Linked DNA regions of Drosophila melanogaster. The protein of the gene in region 1 purifies or fractionates together with the protein of each later gene. This does not show direct contact. Each region holds a gene or a part of one and is shown in the gene's direction. Other genes may lie near its edges.

Region 1 (9,283 bases):
CGTGCATTTTATTCAAAATTGTCAAAAGCGTTATCGCAGAGAAGTCTGTTAATTATTTTGATCTCTGTTGATTTAAGTTTACAATTGTGATTTTTAAGGCATGTGCCTTTAAGCCATATGCCATTATTTCAAGGGGAAAATATACCAAATGAAACAAGACTATTTTTTAGCTTTTTCTAGACAGCTTAAAAAATATTACGATGATTTATAACTGATTTCAGAAATAAAAAGATTTGAAACATAAGCAAGTTAAATTTTGTACCCCTACACGTTAAATAGTAAAGGACTATGATTCATTATGAATTATTATTGAACTGCATAAATAGAAATTATACCATTACTTTCACTGGCATCGCAAAACTTTCCGTCGCTACCTTGGCGCAACCTATTCTGAATCCAGCGTGCGGTCACACTGCAGCAATGACATAACCTAGTTATTGTCAAAAAACTGAAGTCAATTCTATTCCTTCGAAAACATAAATCGTAACTTGCGTTAGGTTCGACGGCATGTTGAAGCTTAACCGTGTTCGCCATCTGCGAACGACGTACAAGCGCTGTTTGTCCGGCCAGTCGCAGCTGCAGCTGAATAGTACGGACGCAGAGCCGGCATATCCGGAGATTCAGGATCTGTCCTTCAAGGCGCGCAAGCAGAAGGATGCGGCCAACTGGCACGAGGAAATCCGGCAGGTGCCGACGGTGGAGGAGAAGATGATCAAGATCAATATGCCCCGCTATTACGGCTTCAAGGTGGTCGACTTCAACGACTCGAAAATCCCCTACAATGCACTGCCGCTCACGCAACATTATACGCGCACAGTGCTCGAGGATTTGCCATCTGAAACGGATAAGAAGGCACAGGCTAAGGACTCCGAGCAGGAGCAGGAGCAGCCGAGCGTGGATGGTCTTTTCAAGGCGGCTCGCGGGGATGTTATTGATGCCCTCGAGTTTGCCCACGACTACTACAAGTGGGTACAACGAGGTCCGCTTTCAACGAACCAAGTTCTCCGGCGAGTTTGTGGACAGTAGTTGGTCCAACTCACTTAAGAACTCGGATTGGTTGGAGTGGTCCCAGTTACAAGTTCGACCGTCTGATATTAATGTATTCATTCTCCTCCATTACCAAGCGTAGGCATCTGGAAAAGCAACACAACTCTGCCGAATCGAACCCCGTTGAACGTGAGCGCATCCTAACGCAGATCATTGTAGAACAGCTGAACAGAGCTCTGCTGCAGTCGCTCAGCGAGGAGTACAAGCACCTGGATGAGCTCGATGTCGACTACAATCCACGCCACGAAGCGTTCTGGGCCGTTGGCGGCGTAGATCCTCCCAAGAACGTGCAGAAATCGAAGAAGGGCCGGGAATGGCAAAAGGATATGGCAAACGAGAGCGTTGATCGGATGGTTCAGTATACGGGAGCGCCGTATCTTGCCCTACGCCATCGCAAGCAATTGACGCCGTGGAAAACGGAAGCGGAAAGCGAAAACCTCGAGCTGAGCAAACAGCTGCCCCGTTTCAAGCACGACCCGCGAACCCTCGGCTACAGCACCAAGCATCAGCACGCCACCAATGTGCCAGGCTATTGGCCCAAAGGAAATGAGAATAACTTCGGCCTGCTCTCATTTCAATCGCGTGCACACCTGCAGATCCGTCCGAAATCGTTCGGCGAGCAGGATCAGCTGGAGGCATTGCATTCGCTGGCGATTAAATCGTCATACGCCTGGCTTTTGGCCCAGGCGAACTACAATGGCTTCAACACCTACAACGAACTGACCTATCCCATGAACACTCAAACTGTGATCACGAACGGCAGGGAATGGAGCTTTTATGAGTATCAGCTTAATACGCTGCTGCTGCACGGCACAAACGTGGCGGAAAATCCCCGTGTCAACTTCTGTCGCGGTACAAAGCCACTTCCACTGTACGCCGAGATTTCGGCAAGCGGCAAGTGCGTTGATTTCAACGATAACGCACTGCGGCACCTGCTCAATTTCTATGCCAATGCGCCATCGATTCAGCGGAGCATTGGGGAGCAGCAGCCGTATGTTGCCTCCGACGTTTCCGCCTATGAGAACGCCGAACAGCGTGACTTTATCAATAAGACCTTCAAATATTTGGCATCAAACCGACCGCGACACTTGGAGCTGCCCGAAATCTACCTGTGGGAGAAGCTATACAAGATCGATAACAACAATCGTGCCATGGAGGCTAAGAGACGCTTCTTCGAGCTGGACATCAATCCTTGGCAGCGAACGCTGGACACACATGACAAGGAGTATGTTCCACGTGCGGTCCGACCAGACGTCCCTAAGAATAAGAACAGGTTCAAGAAGACGTACTACCCTTAAATGAATAAATATAAAACACTTCCTAAGGTTACACTTGTTAAAAATGCTGAATTTTTAATGTGAAATACTGGATTGCAGATTCGGAGCAACGAAACGGTGTACAAAGTTTCTTTAAACTTTGATTAACTCAATTTTCCGCAAACTTTTGTCAGTATGTTAATGATTTTTAATATAAATATTTTGTTAAATTTCAATTTAAATTCTATGCCATACAAAGTATATATATTTATTAACTTTGTTATGCTTGTGGTTAAACACTTCTGTAAATTTATAAGCTAGTCTTTTTTATCTTAAATTCTTTCAAATAGATATGATTATACAAATACCTGGAATTTTGCCAATTATTAGTGCTGATGATGCTAAAACTTGCCAATGCAATGCTTCTTATCATTATTTAATTGTTTATGCAGCACATATTTATTCTAGATTCCATTGTTTATTTCATTTATCAGCACTGCAAACATACCGAAGTTATCTCAAAAAGTGGGTAAAATGCGGTTACACTGCACCAGAACCATATTTTTCGAACGTAAAAAAGGTTTATAATGCTATAGTGTAGTTTAAATCTTTTTACCAAATCATATATTGTTTGAACATAATAGTGCACTAAGGTTTATATGATATTCCATATAAGTACACTTCAAACTCTTACTTAGTCTGGTAATATGTATGCATTAATTAATTACTTGATTATTTTATTATCCCATTTATTATAGTAGTTTTACATTTACGATAATAGCTTTATAGTCCACTACATCAAAGTTAGGATTGCTGAAAAAGTTACCACTTGTTGGTTATTTCGGTAACGTCCCAGCTAACCGTATGGTATGTTATAACGGCCGTGCGACGGTCACACTGGATCTGAATAGTTAGGCTCGAGTAAATAACCAGTTTGAGACTTTACGGTGGTTCGGAAACTCGTATCTGGCGCTTCGGTTGTCCAAAAAGGTAGAGCAGTAACCTGTTGCATATATATTTCTTTTTTTTTTGGTAATAGTGGAAAGTGTAGTGCAGACAAGTCGAACCCAACTGATATTGAGTCGAAATTCCGTTGGGCAAGTGCTGAAAAATCTTGAATATTGATCGTGGAGTATGTGGATACGGTGAGCATTTGTGGGCAAACAAGTGTATTTCTCGGTTATTTGCTTCTTTTTTTGTCGAGTCCATCGAGCTTATAAAGTTGTAAGGCGTGTAAATATGTGTATAATAATTATGCCATAACATACCAGTAGTACAAAAGTATGCTACTGATGATGTGGAACAAGCACGGATTATCATAAATATATGCCATGGACTCTCTGGAATGCCAGTGTAAAATAGTGAAACCAGTGGCCAACCACATATTTGTCTACATCTATATCTATGTCTATGTGTATATATATATATATATATCCATATCTATGTCTATTCCTCCCCCTCCGATCGCGAGCAATCCGATAAAACACTGTATTTATGCTTTGCATTCTGCGATCTCATGAATACGTGAAATCAACATCGAAATCTCCAGCCAACCGACGTGCTTGCATGTGTGTATAGTTTAGTTGAAACAAAAAGAGAATTAACGACAAAACAACCGAATGGCAGTTAATTCCTATTGTTTTCGAGCGGCCTGTCCCAGAAATACAGTTCGATCACAAGCGTCATATCTCGGTGTCCCAGAATTCCAGTTCTTGGCACACACTTTTTATAGATATGAACTGACTTTTATGATCTTGACATGTTTAAGTCTTCGTTTATGCTCAAACCCTTTAATATTCGGACACTTTGTAAGTCTCTAATGTTCTATTAAATAATGCCATTGCAATCCAATGTGTTTATTCACGATATCTCAAGTTGAGTTTGCCCTGGAGCAGTGCCATGACGGTTATAATATGTTGATGTTTGGCGCTGCTTAAATGGCTCGCTCGAATCGAAAACCGTTAAGGCGATTGATGAGTTTGACCTCCTAAAGCTAAAAAAGAAGAAGAAATGCGGTTCTATCTTTAGCTACTCATGTTGTGCATACATACGAAAAACGAGCAGCTCGTGTTATAATAGTTAGTTACACCATTCATAACGCGACAACAAGTGCTGCATGGATTTTCATGATCTTGGTCTTGTCTTGAAGGTCGGAAGTCTATTATAGAACTCTCTATATGCGGTGTGGTGAATAGTTCGGTGGGGGGGGGGGGAGGTTGTATTGTTATTATTTCATCATTTACCCACAAATTGAAAAGTAATCCAGTGTTTATTGGCAGTCCTTTTGGATCATAATCATTTCGGATTTCGGATCTTTGAACCATGGATGAAAAGGAACACGAATTGTCGACGAGGGTGGTGAAAAACGAGGAGAACGAGGATGACGAGAAGCTCAATGAGTTATCCTTTTGTTTTGTTCGGGTAAGTGTAGAATAGCAATCTTATTTATTTATGTTTTTGCGCACTTAGCGATTCGAAAAATGTCAAGTGGTATTATTCATGTATATTGTAAAAGTATTATTATTTTCCATTGCAATTGTTATCACCTAAAACGCCATAAATGATTGTATCACCCAAAAGCTTTGTTATGGAATATTTGATTTTGAACACTGAGTCATAACTTTAAGGGATCGCTATCATGGCTAATGACGTTCAGGAATCCGCCAAATATCTCCACAATATAGATTTAAATTCGTATCTATATATATATATATTTATATATATATATATATATTTAGATACAATCGATATAATCATATAGCATCCTGTTTCCAGGGTTCAGATCCACGAGCTGCCACTTGTCGTAGCAAACTCCAAAACAGGCGATGCAAATTAAACAAAGAAATAAATAAGGAACTCCGCCTTCGAGCTGGTGCCGAGAATCTATATAAGGTGCGTTACCTTACCTTCCGTTATCACTCTGAACATACATATGTATGTCCATGCCAAAACTAAATGCATATCTTTATGTATATATATATATATATATATATATATATATATATATTTAGGCCACATCGAATCGCAAACTGCGCGACACAGTTGCCTTGGAATTAAGCTTTGTCAACTCAAATCTGCAACTGCTGAAGGAGCAACTGGCCGAGTTGAATTCGTCGGTGGAAATCTATCAGAGCGAAAGGTGAGCTAATAAGCCCGCTCCTAGGATAAGAAACTGGGTGGGAAGACCCACCACAAGGTCTAACTTTCAAGGAAGCAGGCAGTTACAAGGCATTCCTTTGATGGTATTATAATAATAATCCTCTAATACTCTCTAGTCACAATGGAATTATGCCCATGATACCGCTGGGCCTGAAGGAAACCAAGGAGATCAATTTCATGGAACCCTTCTCCGACTTCATCCTGGAACACTACAGCGAGGAGCCCTCGATGTACATAGATGCCATAGCTGATATGACGGACACGAGACAGGTAATGCCTCGTACATATATAAGAATTTTATGCACATATAATCCAATGCGAAAAATTTCTAATAGGCATCCAAAACACCGTCACGAGATGCCCTGGGAGTGGCCCTACTTTTCCGCTACTACAACACGCTGTATTACGTGGAGCGTCGCTTCTTTCCGCCGGATCGTAACCTGGGCGTGTACTTCGAGTGGTACGACTCGCTCACGGGAGTTCCCTCGTGCCAGCGGACCATCGCGTTCGAGAAAGCCTGCACCCTGTTCAATCTGGGCGGCATATATACACAGATCGGCGCTCGACACGATCGCACGACGGAACGGGGTCTTGACTTGGCCGTGGATAGTTTTTTACGGGCCGCCGGGGTCTTTCGTCACATCTACGATACGTTCACGAATGCACCATCGATGGACCTGAAGCCACAGGTCCTGGACGTGCTCGTTTCCCTGATGCTTTCCCAGGCACGAGAATGCCTCTTTGAGAAGCTTCAGCTGCAGATCGAGGCGATGAGCGTGAGTTTCCGTCAGCATATATAGTATATAGTATATAGTATATAGTATGTAGTTACATAATTTTACCATCTATATAACCATACAGCACGATTGCCAGGCGTTTCGGGATCTGGCTGGCGAGGCTGCTCAAATATCGCACGAGTACAATGAGATGCACAAGAATATCCAGGCGAACGATACGCACACCTATCTTCCGGAATGCTGGGCCGGTCTAGTGCCAGTCAAGGCGGAACTCTACAAAGGTAGAATTGGTTATCACCTCGAAATGGGAATATTCATTCTAAAGTATGATTGTAAACGCCAACAGCATTCGCACATTTCTACAAGGCACGGAGCATAGATGCGACAGACGAGCTGAAGGCATCAAAGTCAAGTCAAAAGAACCAAGAATCCTTCATCGGCAATTCCCAGGAGGTGGAGCGCATCACCACAGCCGATTATGGAGCCAGCGATGAGGCGTCCACCTCCATTGCCAACAAACTGGCCCACTTAAAGGAGGCGCTGGCCAGTATCGAGGAAGCCCAGCGATTGCAGCGGATGTGTCGGTTCTTGAAGGTAAATATACTTCTTATATCCTATAGCCTAATAACCTAACCTTTAACTTTAATCTTTAAGAACAAGGCATCACTGACTGAAGTCATGAAGGAGGTGCACTCCAAATCGCAGGAGGAGCTCGAGAAGTTCAGACTGCAAGCTTCAGCCAAAAATATCGAAGATGGCGATCTTCTAGAGCGATCGGTAGAAGGTACATATATCATACTCAAGATAAGCCGATGTCTTCATGTACATACATGCATCCATATCCTCAGCATCTTCGAAGTTCACGTTATCCCTGACCGGACCCGACTTCACATCGCACAAGGTTAAGGATCCCTTCAAGCGCCTCGGCCCGATTGCAATATTCTCGGCGAGACGCCACTGGACAGCGCCCAGATGTGTGCGTCTCCAGAAAGGTTCCTCCCTGTATCACAGCGTGCCCAGCAATGACAACAAGTGCCCATTGGATAACGATGATGACGAGGAGCACGATGGTGGATACAATCTGTACAAGGAGGAGTTTGAGAACTTTGGCTTCCATGTGCGCGGCGATGCTCCGGTGATCATTGCCCACGTTGAGATTAATTCTTTGGCAGACGTAAGTAAATGCTACTTCCATCGATTCGTCGTATACTGTAGGCATTATTTTCAGCTTGGCGGCATCAAGGAGGGAGACTTCATAGTCGAGATAGCCGGCGTGGACGTGAAGTGGTACTCCCATCAGCAGGTGGTGCAGCTCATACAATCCTGCGGCTCTACACTCGAGCTGAGAGTGATAACGCCCATGGATCGCAACTACTTGAAGGTGCATTTTGTTTATTAATCATACGTAAAAAATCAGCAAACAAATTCACCTTGTTTACGCACAGCCATTGTCGTCGAAGGGCTCATTATCAACGCTATCGGCGGCCAGTTCATCGGGCATTTCATCCGGATTTCCCAGTCCCACAAGTATTGCGGCCAAGCCCAAGCTCCACCTGAAAACATCCTCTAGTTCGCGACCCGCTGGCAGCGTTTCATCCAGTTCGTGGAATCCGTTTCGGCGAACGCCTAGCTTAGCTAAAATATTTTAAGTAGCCATCAGTTTTATTTTGTGTTTTATTTTTTTGCTCTTAAGGCAATGGCCATTTCAAGTTAAAAAGAATGTTGTGCAGTTTAAGTTAAGCAATAAACTTAATGATTTTTTAAAAGCCCCTCTATTATACCCATAATTTATTTTATTCCTATTGATTCAATCGCTCCCAATCACCCATCGATAATAATCTACACGGAAAATGAATTGAAATAAATGTTTTTAATGTTTTATCGAATTTAAAATATATATTTATACAATTTTTGACATCTACATTTGAATTAAATCATTACGATCCAATGATTTCGAAATTTCAGTTTTTTATGCTGGAGTCGTAGGGTATCGCGGACTTTTTGAAATAGTTTGGGATCCAATCCACTTCTGTTTTGCGAATCCTCAAATTACAATTATAACCGAATGCTAACAATTTATGTTAATTAATCACACCAACGACTATTGCCCAACGAGTTTAAGAATATTGTTGATTTAACTGGAGGATACTGCTATATGATTACTTCGCACGCTTTCCATACACATTTGAACATAGGTTCTTCTTATCGGGGTGATGTCTTTATGCGTTCGCAGATTGCTATGCATAGAACAGCCACAATATCCACACAACGGCCAAATACGAAAACAGCTTGGACAGGGTCTGTTCATCCTCGTATTGCCTTGTTCCCCGATTAGCAGCTAAATACATGGGCAAATGTTATTTAATATCAATCTCAGAACTATTGAGATGGCATGTAACCTACCAGGTGGACGTGGTTCGCCAAAGTTGAGCGTAGATGTTATGAACCCGAAAGGAAAAGCTCCAATACCGAAAGACATGTGAAATCCGTCGCCGAATCCGAATCCAGGGAACCCGGGAACAGGATCTGGTTCTGTACGTTGTCCAGCGGGGCGTGGTGGAACTTTGTTACTGCAAAACACATATAAGTTGGGTTATTGAAAAATACTCATGTTGAAAGCGGTTCAAACCTACCGTGGATCTTCCTGGTGTGTACTATTTCTTCCGTACAGCGGTATGACCTTATCCTTATCAACGGCAGCCTTACAAACGGGACAGAGTTTGCGATTGGGACGCGTCAGGAGCCACTGATGCAGGCACGGCCAGCAGAACAGATGGCCGCACATGCTGACCACAGCATCCTTGGCGGTGTCCAGGCATATGTTGCACTCGTAGAGTGAGTCGTCTGCGGTATGTTCCTTCTCCTTGTCCTTTTCGTTGGCTTTTGTGTCCGTATCGGTGCCGCCGAATGGATAGCCACCCTTCAGATCGGCCTTATTGCCACCAGATAGATAGTCTCCAGTAAAGGAATACGAAGTGTTGGACTTCTTCAGTTCCGATGCCGTCGAATTGGTTGGAATCGAGGTACCCAGCGGGCGCAATTGACTTGTAGATGACTCCTCAGCCAAGGGTTCTGTGATATCCC
Region 2 (6,410 bases), 3.5 Mb from region 1:
GCTGATGGTGCCCACCTGCTATACGACATTCAACCATTATTTTGTCAAGAACCGCGTGATGTGGATGAGCTTTGCCCAGACACTGATTGGCTTGGGCTCCATGCTATATCCGATTGTCATGCAGAAGTTGATGTCATGGTACGGCTTCCGCGGTTGCCTGCTCATCCTCACGGGACTGAATGCTCATGCGGTGTTCGGGATGCTGGTCATGCACCCAGTGGAGTGGCACATGCGTCGCGTGCCCATCCAGCCCGAGGAGCAGGAGGAACTCAAGGAGTTGAGCCCAACGGTGGTGATTAGAGTGCAGCCGGAAACACCGCTTAAGGCTACCAGAGAGGAGCCCAACTTTCATACCGCTGATCCAGGAGCGCGAAAGCTCTCCCACGCCGAGGAGCAAATGCTGAAGGTTCTGTCCAGTCGGGCCTCGAGCATCACCAGCCTGGGCAATTGGTCCGGACCCGTGGTGGTCAGTGACGCCTCGCCCCAGATGATGCACAGCCTGCAGACCTCACGGCGTCCGAGCACGATTGCCGGTGCATCAGGTGCAGTAGCTCCAGCCCACGCTACCAAAAAGAGCTGGGTGCGCACCATCGTCGACTTCCTCGATCTCACGCTGCTGAAGAAGCCCATTTTCGTTAACATCGTGCTGGGCATCACCTTTGCCCTCTACTCCGACATCACCTTCTTCACCATGCAGCCAGTCTACCTATTTGAGCTGGGATACAGCAGGGTGAGTCATTACCACAATATCCACAGTTAAGGGCTGGAGCAGTAGGCTTACCGTAGTTTACACTAAACTTGCTAGCTCTATTGAAAGAAATGTAGATGTGGTGGGTTGATTGAAAAATTACATAAAAATTGTATGCATATATGTTAGCAAAGTAGAATAGACACCATATTTATGTGTAATTAACATAAATTTTCGCAATCTTTCCATATGTACTTTTTACTTTTCGTATCCCTAATCATATCCCTAATCTTGATAACCTTATTCAAAATTTCTTTGAGAAACCAGTTCAAACTGAATTGAAATTATATCACGTGGTATAGATCGTATATCTAAAGTCACCTTGAACAATCTCTAAAGCAGTCGACTTGCTGCTTGTCAAGCAGTTTACTACTTGCCAAGCAATATCTACGATGCTTGCATATAATCATATCTTGCAAAGTAAGGGGTATCTAATAGTCGCGGAACCCGACACCCGTTGCTGATTTAATTGAATTTTTGTTCTTGTGAATTATATACAAATAGATTTCTTTTAGGTATCACAAAATGCCAAAATTTACTTGCGAAAACGCAGTTTCAATAATAATTACTAACTTTTAACGCACACCAAACTTAACACTTTGAGCGATCATATAAGCAACTGATAAATCTGAAATCGATAACAAAAATTAAGTTATATGAGATTTAGAAGCAACTTAAAAGAATAAAAAACGTTCACAAAAAAAGGCAGAAACGAACGCGACGCCATTTTGAATTATTCGAATTCACTTTGTCCGCTTTCGCCGTTAAAAAACGGCTAATCGGAAACAGTATTTTACAGATTAAAAAAAAAAAATTAAAAACCTTGTAAAAGAAAAACATAAAAATAACATAAGCTTACCGTAAGAATATATAAACGATTTCTAAGTGGTTTTCCCAGTCTGATTATTGCGATTACCAGGTTATTTCCAGTTCTTTCAGTAACTTCTACATCCCATAAATAATATTGTTTTTTTTCAGCCCGACACGGCCACCATTATCGCCATTGGAGCGGCCGCAGACTTGGCATCTCGTATTTTCCTGGCCATCACCGCCGTGTGCATCCAGGTTCCTTCGAGATACATTTATTTGGCCGGAGCCGTTTTCACCGTCTTTGCGAGATTCGGTAGGCGAACCCTTCCTTGGGCTCCAAGAACTCCCTTCCTCCCACTAATCTCACTCATTTTCCCACAGCCTTCAACGGAATCACACAGTTTGTGGGCATGGCCTGCATCACGGCGGTCATTGGATTTCTGCGCACCTGGCTCCACGTTCCACTGCCTCTGGTCTTTGCCGACTACTTGCCCAAGGAAAGGTGGGTTCTTTTGGCAAGCTTATAGCATTTATCACAAAATTATAATATATATTCCTCATATATTTCCATCTCGTTTAAGGTTCGCCACTGGCTATGGCCTTTTCATGTTCATCCAAGGCAATGCCATGTTCCTCATCGGTCCCATTGTTGGGTTTATTCGGGACAAGACCAGGGATTACATTTTCGTCTTTCACATCCTAAACGGCTTCATGATCCTGTGCGCCGCTCCTTGGGTCCTCGAAGTGCTGATCGTCAAGTTTCGGAGGCGTAACAAAATCGAACGCAACAACGTTGATCACGAGGATGTTGATAACCAGGGACGTAGTGCAATGGTCCAATAAAAAAAACTCTACCACCCCCCCCCCCCCTTCCTTTTTTTTTAACAAAACATATCGTGAATTATTGAGGTAATTTAGGTACAATTACGAGAAGTATTAAGCAAATAAAACCAAAACATGTTTTTAGATGGGAAATTAAATTGTCAAAAGTATCATTTGCGATAAAGAAAAAAACAGCTTGTTCTTAAAATGGAAATTTGATAATGAAACATATATATTTAATATTTAATATAATAGCTTGGAAAAATGAATGTGATACAGTATTTTTCAAAAAAGGAAAAAACATAAATTCAAAAATCACAGTTAAACTGTTTAATACTTAACGGTAATGTCACAGTTTTCGGTATTTACAAATAGAGAAGTCGGTAGCTTAGTACAACCATTTGGTATTCGCCGCTGTCCACGTGGCGGTCACACTAACGGGGTCCAAGAAACTGAAATTTAGTAAATAATATAGAATAGGATAGTTAACCAGGTGACAATGCTGCAGCAAATCAAGATGCTGGTGCTGGGCATCATCACGCTGTGCCGGCGTGCCTTGTGCTGCTTCTCCAGGCGCCGCAAGCTCAGCCACAGCGGCTCCGCCACCGGATCCGCCGACCAACTGCAAGCGGTCAACGTGATCGTGGAGCGAGGCGACTTCTCCGCCACCGGCGCCACCTCCGCTGGCCAGGCCGGCGGTGGCAGGACAGCGGGGGCGCGCGAGCGGGACTGGAACTCCTGGGACGACAGTCCGCGCACCGTGGAGGAGCACATCGAGCAGTACCGCCAGCGAATGGCCCAGCCACCCACTCCGCCCAAGGAGGAACCCGAACCGGACTTCTTCAGTGTGAGTTGGTACTCAGGCAATGGGCGCGGATTACGCAGATTGCGCCGCTTGCACGGCCCATAGTCGTAGCCCAATTGTAGGGATATTCACGCTCGCTGATGGTGGGATAGTGGGCTATGTTGGGGCTAAATGGCGACATCCCCACCTGTACACGTATCTAGGTGACTTCGGCGTGTTTACCCTATACCCTATCAACTGCACAAGTTTGTATGTGGGCCATAATCACGTCATAAAGATTAGCAGCCATAGAAAACGACAGGTATAAAAATCTAGAAAGAAATCATTTTCGAAACTATTCACAACCATTTATTTCAAATTACGCTTAATTTCTAGTTGTGTTTAACTAAATATTTGTGGAATATTTAAAAGGTTTACTTAAAAAATATGAATATTTAGCTTATTACTGTGATAATTTGTTAATATTTCAATAGTTTTTTAGAAATTTCAAAAATATGATTTTATGAGTCCACAACATTTGAACCAGGAATACTTAAAGAGTGTACTTAAACGCATTATTTGTTAATAGATACTTGCAGATTTGACAAATGCAAATGTCAAAATATTTATCCTATGATTTTTAAAGCTATAAAATATAGAAAACTTGCATAGTAAACTAAAAAGTGAGTGCTTACAACGCTGAATAATATTTGTTAATGAACAGCCGTTTTTAGTTTGCTAATTGTTCATATTGAGGTATCTGTTTTATGAACAAAAACTCCATATTATTTCTACGCAACAGGCATTGATTTAAGTAAAAAATAAAAAACATGAAGAACCATCCAGCTAAATAAGTTAGTTAATACCTACAAAAGTAAAAACAAGCAAATAAAAAAATTGTGAATCACAATGCATATATTCTTTATATGACTATATATAGAATATATAAGTATTTATAATATCTGTGTTTCATATCCTCAACGATTTGGCTAAAATGTAACCTTCTTTTAGGAGCTGACGCCCACCATCAAGCCGCAGATGAAGTTCTACCTGGAGGATCCATCCACGAGTGCGGCGACCAGCCAACAAAGTGACTTTTCAAGACTGCAGGCCCAGGACTTGGTGCCAATTAGCGTAAATGTGAGCCAGTTATAGCCCGAATGGAATGCATGAAACGAACTAATGTTTCTTACTCGGCAGGCCGATCTCGAGGACTGGGTGGATGATAATGCCGGCGGCTGGGAGGAGCTGGACACCTCCCAGACCAAGCACATTCTGCGTGAGAAGCGTCGTGAGTTGCGCCATCAGCGACAGCCGCCCGTCCGCCCGGCCCCGCCCACTGTGGGCGCTCAGCGACTGACCGCCGGACAGCGAGCGGCGTAGTTGTAGCTGCACCAGCCCCTAGCCAACCTCACCAACCTCACCAGCCTCACCCACTCTGACCATTCCACAACCGACCACCTGCATTCTGTTTCCCCTTTCTTTTGTTCGATTTAGTTGATTGGCTACACGAAATAAATCTTGCCTTTCACTCGCACTTCCCTCCTCGCGGATCAGTTGGGCCACACTTCCTGATGGCTCTGCGGTTTGGACGCGCTCCATTGGACCCGCTTCCATCTGCAGTGAAGTGAAGTGGCGTGCAGTCGAGTCAGGCCGAGTGTCGAGTCCATAAAAGCGACGGCAGGCGACGGAAGTCGCAGATTTCTATGCGATGCTGTTGCCGGAGCTGCTGCTACTCGGCTTGGCCGTCTCCCTGGCGGACAGCTACGACCGAAGCGTCAACTACTGGGAGGCCTTTGCGCCCGGCAAGCTGCTCCAGCGCCTGGACGCTCTCACCGTCACGGATGTGGACCAATCGAAGGTGGTCAAACTGCCGCAGTTGATGCAGCCCATCCTGCCAGCCAACGAAGCGCAGGCCAAGGTGGATGAGGACGTGGACGTGGATGTTGAGACGGATGCAGAGGCGGCGGCCGTTGACGATGTGGACAGCCTTAGTGCGGAGACCAGCCACGAGGGCTACTCCGGCGAGGACAACTACGAGCGCAACTACGAGCAGTTCGTCAAGGAGTACTTCGATCGGGCTGCCGACGACGATGACCACGACGAAGGCGAAGGCCTGGTGGAGGAGGAGGAGGAGGAGACCCAGGCGGAGGCCACCAATGTCAGGGATCAGCGCTGCCGGCAGGTCAAACGGAAGGATGGCCAGCTGTGCGAGATCTGTCGCCAGTTGAAGAACAACGAGGTGTCCGAAACGTGCAGCTACTCGCACGACGACCAACCGCAGCAGTACGCCTATGGCAGCGGCAGCCAGTACAAGCGTTACCGCGACGATCCCGCACAGAAGGCGGATCAGGAGCAGGCCGAGCCGGTGGCGCCCAGCAGCCTGTGCGTGCGCCGCCAGCAGAAGAACAGCGTCTGCTACGAGTGCAAGGACAGCAAGGGCCAGAAGATCGAACGCTGCTACGATGTGCAGGCCCGCAAGGCCAAGACCCGAAAGACGAAGGCCTCCTCCACCCGTCATCCGTCCAGCTCCGTTCACAAACGTAAGCCGCGTTCCCAGCAGTCGCAGCAGTCGGAGCAGGAGCAGCGCATCTACAAGCGCACCATTAGCTACAGCTATGCCCAGGGCACGGATCAGCAGGGGCCGCGGTCGGAGCAGCCGGCCGGCGGGACAACGGAGCTCCCAGTGCCACGCCAGCGTCGCCGGCGGCTGGTGAAGATTACGCGTCGGCGCGGACCGGCTAAAGTGCAATAAAAATCGTGTTTTCATTCGCATGACTCAATGTATACCCCACTCGTTAGCTTAGATTGATTACCACACACATTTTTTTTTTTTGTTACAATAAATCATTCTGTAAGAACACATTGCATACTTGTGGGCTAATCAGCTGGAAGAGATTAAGATCACGATTAGCTAGAAAAAGGTTTTTTATCCCAAAAATCTTCGAATATCAGTAGGTGAAGTTCCGAAATATGAGGCACTCTTGTGGATTTTTATACACATCTACTATTAGCATAGGCATTTCGAAATATTTGCTTGCTTTTGAGTTTGTTTTAAGCCGGAGCTCAAGATTCATTATAAAATTTGATATGAAGTGTAATTGTGGCAATGGCAAAGTATGGAACAATTGTAAGACATATGAACAACAAGGATATATGCAAAATAAAACCATGATTCAATGTTAATAACTAACAAGCAAGTGAGACCCGATGAATTCATTTCAATTGAACAAGAAAACTTGCACA
Region 3 (7,688 bases), on another chromosome or scaffold:
CTGATGGTCTGGTCTGGGTGGTGGATAGCGCTGACAGGATGCGCCTAGAGTCCTGCGGCCAGGAGCTGCAAGTTCTGCTCCAGGAAGAGCGATTAGCTGGAGCCACACTCCTAGTTCTCTGCAACAAACAGGATCTACCGGGAGCCCTCTCATCCAACGAAATTAAAGAGGTTCACTCTCATTGATTTTTTATTGAAACAACACATTTAATATACTTTATATTTAAAGATACTACACCTAGAGGATATCACCACACATCATTGGCTGGTGGCCGGAGTTAGTGCAGTGACTGGCGAGAAACTGCTTAGCTCCATGGACTGGTTGATCGCCGATATAGCTAAGCGTATATTCACTTTGGATTAAATACAATTTATTTTACTTCCTTATTTCTCGACCAAGTACATTTTGTATAGCTTTTCCTGCTTTTCGTCCGCAAAATTGGGCTTAAAGTTCACCTTGTGTATGGATATAAATCCTTCGTCTAGGGCGGGTTCCTGGTACTTTTTCTTCATCATGTTAAATACCATGTCCTTGATCTTGGTGCGCGCGGAGTCTGATAGCTCTCGGAAAGCTATATTGTGCTTCACTTGGGCGACGGGCACATTCATCACAAGGCAGCGGCATGGAATCATCTTTTCGCTGGCCAACTGCAAGAATTTTTTTCGAGAAGCTGCATCCACATTGGTGTTATCCACCACACATGATTGGCCCGAGTCCAGGAACCGTTTACAGGCAGTCAGGCAGTTTTGAGTGCTACCCAATGTATCTGCATTGACGATTTTGTAGCCCCGCGGTTGAAAAAAGCTGGAACAAAAGTGGCTCTTTCCGGATCCTGGCAGACCCACCATGATGACCATTTCGCAGGGGTGGTCATCGAGGGTCAAGTCATCCGGATCAAGCAGAGATACTTGGTCCTGAACGCTAGTGGGTTCAAAGTCCGGCTTATTCCACTGCTCCACTTGTTTGCCCAGGAAATGAACCTCTGGAGTGTAGAATGAAATTCCCACGTTGGCTGCAAAAAGTCTGTCTACTAAAGAGTGATCTTTGCGCCGCTTGGTGGCTCCCTTGCCCGTCTCCGGTCTTCCGGCTGCATCGCCGACGAAGAAACATCGATCTTCCTGAATCTCAACGCCATCATTCATTTCACTCTTTAAGTGCTGCCACATTCCCGTCAAAGGTTTGCGATAAAATCCATCACCTATGGCTATAAATACTTGAATTGGAACTCCCAGTTTAGCCACAATATGCTTGATCTTGACCTTAAAGTCATCTAGGTTGATTTTTCCACGAGCAATGCCTCCTTGGTTGGTGAAGAGACAGATTTTAAACCCATCCTTGTGGAGATTCTTTAGTTTCTCCGGCACTTCGGGAAATATGATCTGCCAGTCGTCGGTGTTTTTGGGGAACACCAGTCCCGATTTTGTTTTTATAATGGTGCCGTCCATGTCGTAGCCAGCTATCTTTTCAGAACCTTTAACGCCGACGCTGGTAAAGATAACCAGCTTACCATTGCCAGATGAGTCCCACCTCTCGGATTTCTCTGACGGTGATAGTGTTGTGGACAACGGCTCAGCTTTCTCCTTGTCATACTCCGGTGGAGGGTTAAAGACGACCTCGAACTGATGCCTGCCGTAAACGATCTCCACCAAGTCTCCGTGCTTCAGCTCGCGTTCCCCGTTCTGCATAAGCATCAGACCATTGACGCCGCAGGGATTAACTCCCAGGACTTTAAGTGAAACTACAGCCTTTTTTAGGTCCACTTGCAGTTGAATCTGTCGCTTCGAGCACTTGGAATCTCGGATGCCGGTCTCCCGGCTGCGTCCCACGAAATTCTCCCCAGCGGTCAGGTGTATAGAATGGTGTTCCGGCTCAGTGGGTTTAAGGGTGCATATCCTGGCGGCCACATCCTTGCCAGCTTTTCCAACGGATCGGTTTAGGTATTTAGCCATAGACATTTTGGTTAATCAATAAATAAGAGCATTGCTTAATATTGACACCAAAATTCACTAGAGAGCGAATAGTGTGACCTAATTTGGCATTAAAAGAAGAAGAGTGGCACACAGACATATGTACTTTGAAATGAAAGTGGTTGTTTTTACCTATTTAAATTGAAAAATAAATTACTCCATATAAAAATCGGAGCCTAGGCTCTGTGTGAAACCCTTCCAGAAATCTTAAATCCATCAAAGATGGCTTATAGTAATAGTGTCACTTAAACATTATTCGATAGTTAAAGGCAGACAAAATTTTGTTCCGAATACTCCAGAAAGTTTCAGGAAACGTAAATGCAAAGAAACTGTTTCTCTTTGCGCGTAAGTTACCACCATTCCATACAAAACATTAATTTAATTCGTTCTTTCCGATCAGCCCTTCCTTCGGGGAGTCGGTGATGTGGGTGCAGTTTGTAAGCCCATTCGTGAATTTCGCAACTCGGCTGCTTTGAAATATGCTGCTGCTGCAGCTGCAGCTCCGAAGACACGTCCTGGAAAAGTTCCTCCAAAAATGGTCAAATTGAGGAAGCAATTTCAGGCGGACAATGATTTGCCGATTTTTCTAAAAGGCGGCAGTATGGATAACATATTATACAGACTCACCTGGGTGCTCTGCTTCCTCGGCATAGGTGGCGATGTATGGTTGTGGCTTGGCTATATCATTGCCTAAAATCAACAGAGATCATGCAAGCAAGCCCACAAAACACAAATACTCTGTACACGAATGCAAATACCAATTGTAACGACACATACATTAGTTAACTAGTAACGTTTCTGTACATAGGTAGTTCAAATACGGAAAATCAATTATATAATAATAATAATGTGCTTTACTTCAAAGTGTTCATTGGAGTTTTTAAATTATGCCGCCAATATTTTGCCATTCACATATCATATAACACATATGTGGTGTTATATCGACTCACAAAGCAGCTGGTCACACTGCTTGAACAACTTGCACTTTTGTCGGCATTTCTTAACTGCATATTTTCTCACTTTTTAAAGGTAAGTACGCACGAAATTACTTATTGATTATCTTTTCCACTTAAAACACGAATGCCCGGTGGGTTTTTGTTTGTTTTGCGATTGACTAACCACGTAGTTCTTAAACATTCACATTTTCCTTGGGCTCTGCCAGTTCTTCACGTTTTCGGGCTCCATTTTAGCCATAGTTTTGTTTTCTATATTCTTGTGGTAAAACGCCGCTTAACTGCCACATCTGCAGTTTAGCCGGCTTGCTGGAGATAAAATTGCATTATCAAGTTTTCATGTGTTCCCCGAGTTATTTGGCTTTTCATCCAAATTAAAGTAGCCTTTTCACATTTTCCAGTTGGGCGACAAGTAATGTAAAGTCTTCAAATAGAATACTCTCAAAAAATTCCCAGTAATGTTTTGGCTAAGAGGGCTACAGAGATCCCGGCAGCAACTGAACAGGCTGTGTCATTTCCGTAGTCGTCTAAATTACGGGACCAGTCCCAGTATTCGCTCAGTCCAACCGTCAATCTCCAGAAGTTTGGGATTTTGTAGCTCCCTCGTTCGTTACAGGTATTTGCCAGGTGTTATCTAAAGCCCATGTATATAATCGGTCCGGTTCGCCATATGATATCTTTGCAGCTGCAGCACCAACCTTCCCCAACCCGCTGAGATGGCCAGTAAAACCGCGCACTTCGTCCTGCCTAACACGCAGCCCATTGCCGATTTGGACTGCAAGAGTGCCTTCGAGAATCTCACCGAGAAGGAGAAGCTCTACGCCCACCACTTCAGCCAGGCCTCCTGGGACGGCGGACTCATTGCCTTGATCCAGTCCAGTCCGGAGGCGCCGCTCATCTTCTCCCTGCTGCACCGCATTTTCCTAGCCGAAAAGATTCCTGTTCTTAGGGCGAAAGCCCTGGAGGCGGGAGTGTCTGCTGATGATTTTACGGTATGGCAGAGGAGAGTTTCATATTCTCGAAAATAAATATTAATTTTGATCACTTTCAGGCCTTCCTAGTGTACGCCTGCGGTGTGTTCGCCAACGCGGGCAACTACAAGGGTATGGGCGACAGCAAGATCGTTCCCAATCTCTCAGAAAAGCAATTTGAGACTATAGTAAAGGCATCCGCTGCTTACAGCGATGAGCCGCGCGTAGGCAAGATCTTCGAGAAGGTCAAGAATCTGATTTATGCGCTCGAGTCGCGTAACGAGATCCTGGGCTTTGCTCCCGACGGAATCACCACCTACTGGTCGGATAACTGCACCAAGGAGGACTCCGAGATCGTGAACGCTTGGCTGACCTCAAAGCGTATCGAACCGTACATGTGCCGGACCTTCAAGATAGTTGAAAATGGTCAAACCGTCTACGATGTAAAGCTGGGCTCCGTGGCGGAGTCCACGCAGGACGGCATCACACTTCCGCTGGAAGAGTATAATGGCAACAAGTTTAGGGTGACACGCGGTGATTACCAGAAGCTGCTTCAGCGCGTCAACCAGCATCTGCTGCAGGCCCAGAAATACGCAGCCAATGAAAACGAGTCCAAGATGATCGAGCACTATGTCCGATCCTTTGAACAGGGCTCGCTGGACGAGCACAAGAACGGATCGCGTTGGTGGATCAAGGACAAGGGACCTGTCATCGAGACCTACATTGGTTTCATTGAGACATACAGGGATCCTGCTGGAGGTCGGGCTGAATTCGAGGGCTTCGTGGCCATGGTGAACAAGGAGAGCTCGGCCAAATTCTCCGAGCTGGTGAACCGCGCCGAGAAACTAATAGAGTACCTGCCCTGGACGGAGCCTTACGAGAAGGACTCTTACCTGAAGCCAGACTTCACATCCCTGGATGTCCTCACATTTGCCGGCAGCGGAGTACCAGCGGGCATCAATATTCCCAATTACGACGAAATCCGCCAGGATGAAGGCTTCAAGAACGTCTCGCTGGGCAATGTGCTGGCCAACATCAACCGCAAGGATCCCATTCCTTTCCTCACCGAGGAGGATCAAACTCTGATGAAAGAGTACAAGGTGAAGGCTTTTGAGGTGCAAGTGGGCCTCCATGAACTCCTAGGCCATGGTAGTGGCAAGCTATTCCGCATCGACGAAAATGGTGTGTACAACTTTGACAAGGAGAACACTAAGAACCTGGTCACCGGTGAACCCATCACCAAGTGGTATCTTCCTGGAGAAACTTACGACACCAAGTTCGGAGCAATTGGTTCCTCGTACGAGGAATGCCGCGCCGAGGCGGTGGGCTTGTATCTCTCCCTGCAGCGTGACATCCTGGAGATCTTTGGCTTCAAGGACAAAGCCGAGCAGGACAACATCATCTATGTCAACTGGCTGAGTCTCATCTGGAACGGCATGGGTGTGGCTCTGGAAATGTTCAACCCGAAGTCCAAGCTGTGGCTCCAGGCGCACTCTCGCGCTCGTTTCGTGATCATGAAGGTGCTGCTGGAGGCAGGCGAAGGACTCGTTAAGGTCGAGGAAACCGAAAAGGGTAAAAACCTTTTGCTGACGGTGGATCGCAGCAAGATCGATACCGTGGGCAGGAAGGCGCTGGGCGATTTCCTGACCAAGCTGCAGGTGTACAAATCCACCGCCGACATCGAGGCAGCTTCCAAGATGTACGAACACTACTCGAAGGTCGACGAGAGCGGATCGCATCCGTGGGCCAAGTGGCGGGATATCTGCCTGGCGCACAAGAAGCCGCGTATGATTCTCGTCCAGGCCAACACGGCGATCGGCCAGGACCAAAAGGTCCAGCTGAAGACCTACGAGCCCACCCACGAGGGGTACATCCAGTCATGGGTGGAGCGCTACCCCAACACTGACATCGACGATCTTCTGGAGAGCATCGTGGAGAAGGACAAGAAGTATTTCCCGACTGCCTTCAACAACTGAGAACATTTCGCATTTAACATTTTCGCCTTCATTATCAATTCAATTTGTTAACTATGATTTTGAAAAAAAATATATAAAAATATATATAGTCATCTAATGACCAACAATTTTAAATTTTAAATTGCTTTTATAGTAAAACTTTCGTAGTGAATGGTGATTTTAAGATCGTTTTTGCCATTCACCGAAAATATTGACAAAGGACCTGAATTTAATTGCTTGTATGTACATACATATATTGCGACCAAATGTATATTGCTCATAATAGCTCCACAATTAAGAATGTAAATATAAAATCAAATACTACAATTTGTTCATTGAATGTTTTCATAGTAGCCAGTCGATAAATATTGGTTTTTTTTTTTTTATTTTGTTTCTCGTTTCCATTTCTGTTTGCATTGTTTTGACCACCATGGCAACCGGTAGAAATCGTGGTAACCACAAGGAAGGTGGCACTATCAACATCGGACAGCCGCTATTCCAGGTGCCTCATTCATTGCGCAAGGAGCACGACTTTTTCAGCTCACAGCTGTTCCGAAAATTGCAGTACGACCTGGAGGAGGTGAGCCGCAGCCAGGAGCTTTCCAAAGTGAGTCCCATAACCCGCGACTTCATCGAGGAGGCAGCGATGACGCAGGAAATGCAAGATCTTAAGCGTGCGGAGTTTGTGGAGAGGAAACGTCGCCAGCAATTGCGGCGGGATTGCGAGGAACTGCGCGACTTGGCGGAGCAGCTGCGCCTAGCCGCCATTTCCAGGGATATAGCCGAGAATTTGGAGGAGAAAAAACGTCGTCGACAGCTAGACATCAAATTGGAAGCCGCGGAAGTGTCCCAAGAGCGCTGTCTGCTGGAGGTCAGGCAACGTGAGAAGGAAGTGGCTCTTAAGGAGGAACAACGCCGCCTTAGGGAGTCCTTGGCTGAACAAATGGAGGAGAACCGCCGACGGCGCCTGCAAGAGCACGCTCAGGTGATGAATGACCGGGAGCTGAGCCTTCTGATGCAGAAGCAAATCCAGGAAGAGGATCGAGCCCAGGAGCTGGAGGCGCAGAGAAAAAAACTACAAAAGCGACAGGACATGCTGCGGTCCATCAAGGAGAACCAGGAACTCAGAGAATGGCAGCGAGCTCAATACAACCAGGAGTTGAGTGACTTAGTCCAGAAGCAAAGTGACATGGAGCGCAGGAAACTCCAGCTGGAGGCTGAACGCCAGGAGATTCAACGCAAAAAACAAGAAATCAGCATTCGTTTGGGCCAGCAAGTCCTAGAAATCGAAGTAAGTCTTGAAGCGGTTTTTCGATTCAATCAATAAAGCTAACTCTTATTGCAGAACAAAAAACGGCATCGCGACAATCTGCTGCTGGATCTGTTGGAGGCGGAGTACACGGCCAAGAGTGACGAGCGCTATCGCCAACAGATGCAGCAGGAGCAGATGTCTCGCCAGCGCACCAGACAGGAGTTGGATCGCTATCGACAGGAGGTGAAGCATCGTAAGATGGCCGAAATGCAGATGAAGCGGGCGGAGATGGCTACGCGGCAGGAGGAGGCGCCGGATACAATCAACCAGAATTCCGAAAAGCAACTGGATGAATATCGCAGACGCCGGGCCCATGGAGCCTCCTTGCTTGCTATGATTGAGGATAATCACCGGAAGCGGGCGGAGGCCACCGCTGAAAATGTTCAGTACTTTGACATGAAGGCCAAGATCGATGCCGAGCAAGAGGAACGCATCAAACAGGAGCGTTTGGCCATGTTGAGCCAGGTTCCTTCCTCCGTGCTTCGATATCTACCAAAGCATGTCCTTAAGTCTACGGATAGGGAGCATTT

The links. The genes of interacting proteins can lie anywhere in the genome.
Region 2: the proteins of Rhp (region 1) and CG32536 purify together in Drosophila melanogaster (affinity purification with mass spectrometry, with the first as the bait; one large-scale study listed by BioGRID). This does not show direct contact.
Region 3: the proteins of Rhp (region 1) and DppIII purify together in Drosophila melanogaster (affinity purification with mass spectrometry, with the first as the bait; one large-scale study listed by BioGRID). This does not show direct contact.

The regions. Positions count from the first base shown.
Region 1 is NC_004354.4:15,785,665-15,794,947, forward strand, and holds Rhp (rhophilin), read left to right. Parts: upstream 1-3,232; 5' UTR 3,233-3,448; intron 3,449-4,582; 5' UTR 4,583-4,625; coding exon 4,626-4,724; intron 4,725-5,078; coding exon 5,079-5,195; intron 5,196-5,314; coding exon 5,315-5,442; intron 5,443-5,578; coding exon 5,579-5,732; intron 5,733-5,797; coding exon 5,798-6,238; intron 6,239-6,323; coding exon 6,324-6,480; intron 6,481-6,545; coding exon 6,546-6,793; intron 6,794-6,853; coding exon 6,854-6,983; intron 6,984-7,047; coding exon 7,048-7,373; intron 7,374-7,427; coding exon 7,428-7,580; intron 7,581-7,644; coding exon 7,645-7,848; 3' UTR 7,849-7,968; downstream 7,969-9,283. Other genes in the region: mRpS30 (mitochondrial ribosomal protein S30), read left to right, coding at 508-965, 1,130-2,345; sordd1 (suppression of retinal degeneration disease 1 upon overexpression 1), read right to left, coding at 8,437-8,537, 8,603-8,769, 8,833-9,283.
Region 2 is NC_004354.4:19,273,294-19,279,703, reverse strand, and holds CG32536 (uncharacterized protein), read left to right. Parts: upstream 1-2,805; 5' UTR 2,806-2,879; coding exon 2,880-3,227; exon of another isoform or gene 3,228-3,486; intron 3,487-4,175; coding exon 4,176-4,304; intron 4,305-4,364; coding exon 4,365-4,547; 3' UTR 4,548-4,700; downstream 4,701-6,410. Other genes in the region: CG8028 (uncharacterized protein), read left to right, coding at 1-730, 1,727-1,871, 1,940-2,060, 2,140-2,401; CG32537 (uncharacterized protein), read left to right, coding at 4,876-5,919.
Region 3 is NT_033777.3:8,341,488-8,349,175, forward strand, and holds DppIII (dipeptidyl aminopeptidase III), read left to right. Parts: upstream 1-2,912; 5' UTR 2,913-2,996; intron 2,997-3,321; 5' UTR 3,322-3,378; coding exon 3,379-3,536; intron 3,537-3,605; coding exon 3,606-3,912; intron 3,913-3,971; coding exon 3,972-5,867; 3' UTR 5,868-5,978; downstream 5,979-7,688. Other genes in the region: Arl2 (ADP ribosylation factor-like 2), read left to right, coding at 1-170, 229-363; PNKP (polynucleotide kinase 3'-phosphatase), read right to left, coding at 384-1,955; COX7AL (cytochrome c oxidase subunit 7A-like), read left to right, coding at 2,286-2,312, 2,368-2,661; CG7352 (uncharacterized protein), read left to right, coding at 6,277-7,137, 7,192-7,688. UniProt on the Drosophila melanogaster protein: Degrades neuropeptide proctolin (RYLPT) by cleavage between Tyr and Leu residues.